Linked DNA regions of Mus musculus. The protein of the gene in region 1 purifies or fractionates together with the protein of each later gene. This does not show direct contact. Links are inferred from orthologs where the notes say so. Each region holds a gene or a part of one and is shown in the gene's direction. Other genes may lie near its edges.

Evidence for each region.
Region 2: the proteins of Per1 (region 1) and Csnk1d purify together in Homo sapiens (affinity purification with mass spectrometry; 4 studies listed by BioGRID and IntAct, counting the BioPlex papers as one, with this or other methods). This does not show direct contact. The link is inferred for Mus musculus from reciprocal best matches to the Homo sapiens genes PER1 and CSNK1D.

What each region holds. Positions count from the first base shown.
Region 1 is NC_000077.6:69,097,383-69,101,827, forward strand, and holds the start of Per1 (period circadian protein homolog 1), read left to right. Parts: upstream 1-1,566; 5' UTR 1,567-1,626; intron 1,627-2,769; exon of another isoform or gene 2,770-2,813; intron 2,814-3,126; 5' UTR 3,127-3,259; coding exon 3,260-3,534; intron 3,535-3,622; coding exon 3,623-3,721; intron 3,722-3,813; coding exon 3,814-3,968; intron 3,969-4,068; coding exon 4,069-4,190; intron 4,191-4,292; coding exon 4,293-4,445. UniProt on the Homo sapiens protein: Transcriptional repressor which forms a core component of the circadian clock.
Region 2 is NC_000077.6:120,981,227-120,984,871, reverse strand, and holds part of Csnk1d (casein kinase I isoform delta), read left to right. Parts: intron 1-1,528; coding exon 1,529-1,639; intron 1,640-3,645. UniProt on the Homo sapiens protein: Essential serine/threonine-protein kinase that regulates diverse cellular growth and survival processes including Wnt signaling, DNA repair and circadian rhythms. It can phosphorylate a large number of proteins.

The sequences.
Region 1 (4,445 bases):
GGTCAGAGGAATCACACCTAAATCCTTGAGAGCTGTGGAAAGAGAAAGGGGTCTGGAAAAAAAAAAAAGGACAGCACACGGTCACAACGCAGTACGAGGGGGCAGGAGAGCAGCATCATTTTCAGGAGGAGGAAGCTGAGCACTCAGCCTCCCGTGTCTTTTGTTTTCTGTGTTTCCCTGCTTCTGTTTTTCTGGGTTATTTTATAACAGGTCTGTGTCCCAGCATTTCTATAGAACCTTGTCTCGCCCGCCTCCTCTAAGGGAAACACCATTGTTAAGGAAAGCTTTAGCCACGTGACAGTGAGGGGCGTGCACTTAACAGCTGATTATGTCAGCCGCTGCGTGTTGGCCTCTTCACTTGCCACCTACGTTTGCAGGGAAGCCTGAGAACTACTCAGCCCAGGCCTAGGGAAGGGGACTCTGTCACTGTAGCTCTCCTGGACCCAGACTGGCATGTTGTCCCCCCCTCCCCAAAATCGAGTCTCTATTCTCTTTTTATGAATCAATGCTCTACTTTTCTTTTGAAAACATAATTTGTTGCCTCCTCTCCTGAGGCTCTCTCTCCCCTACCTATCCTTAATAGAAACAGAGCCATCCTGTTTACCGAGCATCTACTGTCAGTCCTGACGCTGAGACGTACTTACCTTACTGCTGAGAATACAGTAAATGAGACAGATGGGCTTGCTGCTGGGTTCATGAACCTTGGCTTTTGTATTCTAAGCAGCAGGAATAAAAAGCCCAATAAAAAGCCCTTGCCACCCAGCCACCCATCCTTTTTCTGCCTACTGCTGCAACTGCCCTCTCTGCTGCCCCTTTTGTAGTACTGGCTTCCTGGTCCCCACTTTTGGGGCAGCCCTAAATGTGGGTGGCTGCATCCTCTGCAGAGGCAGCACTAGTCACCAAGTAGGCTTCCTGGAGACCTTTTCTCTGATTGGCTAGTGAAGCACCTGCTTTTGTTTCCTTTCACAGTAGCCATTGGCTTTCCCTGTCCTTTCCGTTTGTCCGTATCCTTCCATCACCCACTCACCCCTTAACGACACGTGGGCCCTCAATTGCCCTTCTCTCAGGATCTGAAGGGTCAGAGGAAAGGGTTGGATTCTTTATAACAAGGCTGGGGAGAGGCCAGGGAATGTCAGTCTAGGTTTTTCTCTCTCCCACTTCCCTTGGGTAGCAGACATTTCATTCACCCGGCACCAGGACAGGTGTCTTGTTCTGCCAAGCTGGTCAGTTTAGGAAGTAGGTTTCTCTTGAGCACTTCCTGTGGCCCAGGTATCCTCCCTGAAAAGGGGTAGTTTCCCTCCCTCACTTCCCTTTCATTATTGACGGTGTGAGACATCCTGATCGCATTGGCTGACTGAGCGGTGTCTGAGGCCCTTCAGCCCAGCACCAGCACCCAAGTCCACGTGCAGGGATGTGTGTGACACAGCCCTGACCTCAGTGGGGGCCAGTAGCCAATCAGATGCCAGGAAGAGATCCTTAGCCAACCGGGGGCGGGGCCTGCGGCTCTTCGGGCAGAAGGCCAATGAGGGGCAGGGCCTGGCATTATGCAACCCGCCTCCCAGCCTCGCGGAGCTTCTGGGTTGCGGGCCGAAACGGCAAGCGGATGGAGGGCGCTCGAACGGCCAGGTAGGGATCCCTGCTGCAATCCTAGGGTTAGTCTTTGTCCCGGAGCTTGGCCGCCACTACTTCCAACGTGATGGGTCGCTTTCAGCTCTCAGAGAGCAAAACAATAATCTGCCTTTCCTGTCACTATCCACCCTTCCCCGCCCCTGGGCCCTAGGTGTTCAACTCAACCCGTCACGGGTTGTCTGCGTTTGTTATTCGTTCACCTAATCTCCTCCTCTGCTCCTCCAGAGCAGCCATCCTGAACCTAAGAGACCTTTAGCGAACACGACCCCTTTACACATTGCTCGACACTCGGGAGTCCATGGGTTTGCCCTAGCCCAAAGACCCCCTTCAGGCTTCTGCGCTCCCTGTCTTCCTCCCTCCAATTCCTGGCCTCGTGCCGGTCGTGATGTCAACCGCTTCAGGCTGGAACATCCTGTTCTCAGCGCTAGTTCTTGCTGTTGGCCACAGCCTTCCTTCCCTTTTCTCCTGGCGCTCAGAAAATACTTGGGATGGGGGTGTGGTTAGACAGGGAGTAGAGGAAAAACTATATATGCTGGTTGTTGTGTGTCCCCTATCTATGTGGTAGTAGGGTTAACTAGAAAAGTAAGGGACGAAGGAAGATGCCTGAGTCGTTGCCTATGGCAAGTGGTAACTCCAGTCCTGGTGTTTGGGAGTGGGCAGGGGCTTGAGAAAGAAAAGCAGTGTCTTGATCAGAATAATGTTCGAGGCAAGAGCGAGGATGGGGGCGTTTCCACAAAGAGCAGAGGCCGAGTGGGGAAGCTAGGACTTGCTCCTGGAGTTCCTCTAGTTTGTTACTCTTCACATGGCTCCTAGGCTCTTTGGGCCCTGGGAATTTGTTATGGTGGGTGTTCTTCTCCTCCCCGCTGCCCTGAACCTTGTTAGCCAGTATGAGGGTGTGTTGGCCAGTATAGGACTGGGTCTGTTTCCCACTTCCACGAAGATGGGGATTGGGGGAGGAGTCGTTCCTGCCCTCCTGTGGTCCCTCCAGCAACCGCTGAGCTCAGCGGCTGACGTCGGTTTCCCTGGCGACCGCGGCTGTGGCGGAAGCGCGTGGTGGGGCCAGGCACATCGGCGCGCATGTGCAGCGGGGGTGGCACCGCCCCCGGATAAAATTAGCCCGGAAGCCTAAATATAGGAGGCGATCAGCTCACCCCCTGCTCCGAGGCCTCAGAGTCCCAGACCAGGTGGGGACCTGATGAGAATTTGGGCATAGGAAACCTGCAAGCTTTGACCCTCAGCTACTGTTCTAGTCGATTGTTCAGGCTGTACTCATTCCACACTGGCAAGGGGTGTAAGAGATGGCCTACGAGAGCTGCCTTTCTACCTGTGGTATCCTTAGGTCCCCCTAAGGAAATAGAACATATTTCTATTGCAAGCCCCAGGCCTGAGTCACAACAGTGAGGGGCAGGCAGAGGAAGGACTGGGTGTAGCCAGCAGATGCTGTGGGGTTAATAGCTCAGCTTTTGCTAAACATTCCTTTTTGGTTTCTTTTTCTAGGTGTCGTGATTAAATTAGTCAGCCCTCAGAGACAGGCGTCCTACCTCCTTTATCCAGACCTCAAAAGCCCCGTTGTGCACCCGTGGTGGCTTCTTCACCTTCCCTGTTTCGTCCTCCACTGTATGGCCCAGACATGAGTGGTCCCCTAGAAGGGGCCGATGGGGGAGGAGACCCCAGGCCCGGAGAACCTTTTTGTCCTGGAGGAGTCCCATCCCCTGGGGCCCCGCAGCACCGGCCTTGTCCAGGCCCCAGCCTGGCTGATGACACTGATGCAAACAGCAATGGCTCAAGTGGCAATGAGTCCAACGGACCCGAGTCCAGGGGCGCATCTCAGCGGAGTTCTCATAGTTCCTCTTCTGGCAATGGCAAGGACTCAGCTCTGCTGGAGACCACTGAGAGCAGCAAGAGGTGTGTACGAGTGTATGTGTGTGTATGATGGCATGATGCTGCTGACCACGTGGCCCTCCCTCACCTTAGCCTGTTCCTTCTTTTCTAGTACAAACTCACAGAGCCCATCCCCACCCAGCAGCTCCATTGCCTACAGCCTCCTGAGTGCGAGCTCAGAGCAGGACAACCCATCTACCAGTGGCTGCAGGTGTGTAGGCTGAGGGCTGAGGGAGATGCCTGGGGGCCGGGCCAGACTTCGGGGCTAATATCTTTACCCCTTCATTCCTGTGGGTCCTGCAGCAGTGAACAGTCAGCTCGAGCCAGGACCCAGAAAGAACTCATGACTGCACTTCGGGAGCTCAAACTTCGACTGCCACCAGAGCGTCGGGGCAAGGGCCGCTCTGGGACCTTGGCCACACTGCAGTACGCTCTGGCCTGTGTCAAGCAGGTTCAGGGTGAGTGAGTTGTGCTTCCTGGCAGGGTCTGGCCAGGACTTGGACTACTGTAGGGGCCTTTCTCCTAACTGAATATGGCTTGGATTCCCTTCTCCTACAGCTAACCAGGAATATTACCAGCAGTGGAGTCTGGAGGAGGGTGAGCCTTGTGCCATGGACATGTCTACTTACACCCTGGAGGAATTGGAGCATATCACATCCGAATACACACTTCGAAACCAGGTCAGTTACAGCTTGGGTCCTCAGTTCTAACCCCCCTCCCCGCCCCCCCACCCCCCATTCCTACAGCTCCTAAGTCTTCCCCCGGTCTTGGTCTCATTCTAGGACACCTTCTCTGTGGCTGTGTCCTTCCTGACAGGCCGGATTGTCTATATTTCGGAGCAGGCAGGTGTCCTGCTGCGTTGCAAACGGGATGTGTTTCGGGGTGCCCGCTTCTCAGAGCTCCTGGCTCCCCAGGATGTGGGTGTCTTCTATGGC
Region 2 (3,645 bases), about 52 Mb from region 1:
GAAGTCATTTCTTGTGTGAGTGGATAAGCTGCCCTGACTGTAGGCAAGAAGAATAAGATATATTGCTTCTTACTATAGTGTTCCCAAAGATTTCTTGTGGAGTAGTAAGTGAAGTTCTTCCACCTAGATATGTCAGTGGCATTCCTGTTATTCTTACAGATCTGCAGCATCGGAGATTGGCTTTTGGCCCAGGTGTGGTCAGAGCAGCCAGCCATCTGACAGACCAAAATGACTTGTCTATGATTCTTGGGTGGCAGCAGACACAATTTGTTGGCTTTAGGTTGTCCCTATGCCTATAGGCCACCTAAGTGACTCATTCCTCGGCTCCCTGTGAAACTCTTGCATACCCCTCCCATCTCAGTTAACAAAGAGATTGAGTCACGGAGAGCTAGCCAGGCTTCTCAGTCCACAGCTTCTCTACCCAGCACAGAACCTGGTCATGCTTGGTTGTATCAGGCTCTATTTAAAAAAAAAAAAAGAAAAGAAAAGTACAAATCTTTTTCAAATAACTACAGTCCTTGGAGTATAGAACTGCTTTCCACTTAGAAACAACCTGTCGAGGAAGAGGGCTGTGTGGAATGTTAGGTCCTGGATGTACCATGCAGAAGCAGGGAAACTCCGAAGCAGCCTGGACCAGGTAGACTGAGGAACATTTATGTGGGAGCTTTTAGAGTAAAGCATGAAAGGGATGCTTACAGATAACACCGTCTTTACCTCCAAATTCCACAGCCCTAGTTATCGTAACATCGTCACAAATTAACAAAAACTCTGTGGCCCCAAGGGGCTGAGGGTGGCACCTGCCTTTAATCCTAGCATTTGAGAGACAGAGGTAGGTCAGTCTGAATTCAAGGCCAGTCTGATCTACAAAAAGGAGTGGAGAGTTTTCCCTTGGTTTAGTTGAGGGTCTTTGTTAAGCCTATGGTAGTTTGTTTGGAGATGATTGTGTCCACATTAGAACCACTGGTGAGAAACTGTTGAGGTGTGTGGGTAGACGTCAGGCTTGTCTGGCCTGAGATCGGGAGGAGAGAGAATAGGGGGACACTCAGCTGTCCTCCTCTTGGGAGACTCAGGCACGCTCCAAAAGGCCTATCAAACCGTCACAGAGAAGCATCCCATTGCTCTCTGTCTTAGTTAGCCCTGAGTGGGTAGAAGGAATGGGGCCTGCAGCTATATTGACTAGCTGGTGGGTACAATGGGTACAGGTAAAAATGGAAGGTAGAATGTCAAAGATGTTTTCTTACATGTTTTTGAATAAAGATAGTTTTTTTGTGTGTTGGTCAGCCAGCAGTACCTTCTCTTAATAGGAAGTACAAAGCACTATCATTTAGTCCGTCTTAGGAAGCCAGTACTATAAGGGGTAGGGTGTGGTGTGGTTCAGTGGCATGGTTTTGGCCATGTGCAAGGGTGTTGGATTCCATCCCTAGCACTGTTCCTGCCTCACAAAGATGTAATGGATATCAAATAACCCAAAAGCTTTGGGTTATGTGGTAGACACAGAATAATATATGTAACTTTGTTTGTTTGTAAGGTACGGACATTGCTGCGGGAGAAGAAGTTGCCATCAAGCTTGAATGTGTCAAAACCAAACATCCTCAGCTCCACATTGAGAGCAAGATCTACAAAATGATGCAGGGAGGAGGTAAGGTTCATGTTCAGTTCATGTCTACCATAGCCTACAGATGATACATAGCTTACAGATACATCGCCTACAGATAGAGCAGACCTCACACCCCAGAGGAAGCAGACTTAATGGGCTTTGCTTAAGAGCTCCCCCTATTAGCTTCCCATTAAATGATAATGTCTTTGAAAGATGGATTTTGTGTAAATTTCAAAGTAAACATGGTGCTCCTTGTCACAGCACAGTGCTTCCTGCTAGCTGGCTTCTTCTGGGTCACATGCTTTCCTTAGAACTTGAGGGTAGTCTCATAAAACTCTGAAGTTTCAGTTTTCTCTTGGATAGGAGTTTTGAACATAACTTCTCTGACTCCCAGCTAAGTCACTGTTCTCAGTTCTGTAAAACTTTACTGCAAGACCTTGGAGTACTAAGTAGTTTGCCTGATGAAACAGGAGCTCTAATTTGAGGCTTTCAAGACCATGAGACCCAACCCCACCTCCTAGGATAGGAGCCTGCTTGTGACAGGATTTGTATCTGAAAAACAAACAAACAAACAAACCACAGAAGCCTCTGTGGTGCTGTGATAGTTGGAATAGGGAGGAGAGCCCCCCACCATGTGACCATGTGACCCCCCCACCATGTGACAGACTCTTTATTGGCCTCAGCAGGAAAAGGGAAACTGTTGGTTTGATGTTTTGTTGCCCTCCCTCAGCAAAAGCAATTTAATTCTACCTCTCCTGGAAACCAACTTTCTCTAACAAAATGTCTAAGGCAGTAGCTGCATGCCATTGTGTGTCCATCTTAGTGGCCATTGTATTCCCTTAATGTCCATTGTATCCTATCCTGGGTATAGAATCAAAGGAGGCCATAGGTAGATGAACAATACCTGGTGACATCCACACATACCTTCCAAACATAGGGCTGGTGCACATATGAACTCACAGAGACTGTCTATGGGCCTAATCCAGATGGGTTCCCAGCCCCAAGAGAGGAAGTAGACACAAGCGACCATCCCTAAACCAGAAGCTATCTCCAACAGAGTATCACCAGTTATACAAAACAAGCCACTCTTAAGGATAAATGTCATGCCCAGCAGTAGATGAACAAGACAGCATGAACTCAATGGCATTTTTGGGTTCCTTGTCTCATAATGATTTGTTTGGACATTTTTGTTCTTTTTTCTTTTGCTTTTCCTGTCAGATCTTTTGCTTATGTTTTATGGTTTCTGGTGTTGTGTGTTAATTGGGAGTTCTCTGTGTGTCTCTGCATCTGTATGTGTTTCATGTGCTCTTTGGTTCTTTTGTTGTTTTATCCTTTTCCGTTTTGTTGGGTTTTATTTTTAACTTTATTTTCTCAAAAAGAGGTCAGCAGAGTCCCAGTCCTGTACGCCTGCCCTTTGGCACATCCTCAGTAGGACAGTCTTCGTGAGGGCATTAGCTTTTGTAACAAGTGGAGTAGAACAAAACAGCATAAGAATTAAGCTTAATGCATGAAGGGGTTATAATAAGTTCTGAAAATGTGCTAGCCTAGAGTGCCTAAGGGTGCTGCAGCCTGATAGTGGTCAGAAAGGAGCATAGTGGGCTCCAGAGAGGCACGAGGTTCCAGCATCCCTGCCATGTGCTATGGTTACTGCTCTTTTTTTTTTTTTTTTTTTTTTTTTAAAGATTTATTTATTTATTATATGTAAGTACATTGTAGCTGTCTTCAGACACTCCAGAAGAGGGAGTCAGATCTCCTTACGGATGGTTGTGAGCCACCATGTGGTTGCTGGGATTTGAACTCTGGACCTTCAGAAGAGCAGTCGGGTGCTCTTACCCACTGAGCCATCTCACCAGCCCTGGTTACTGCTCTTTGTGCACTGTGTCAGTTGCCCTCCCAGGTTATGATTGGAGAATAAAGTTGTGGATAGTGCAGGGTACCTACTGCTGGGTAGCATTACTCACTGTGTGGGCCCTTAATCACTTGCCCATATCCCTTCTCTAGATGCCTGGAATCCACACAAGATTGAGAAGTGGGTGGCAGCCTTTCTT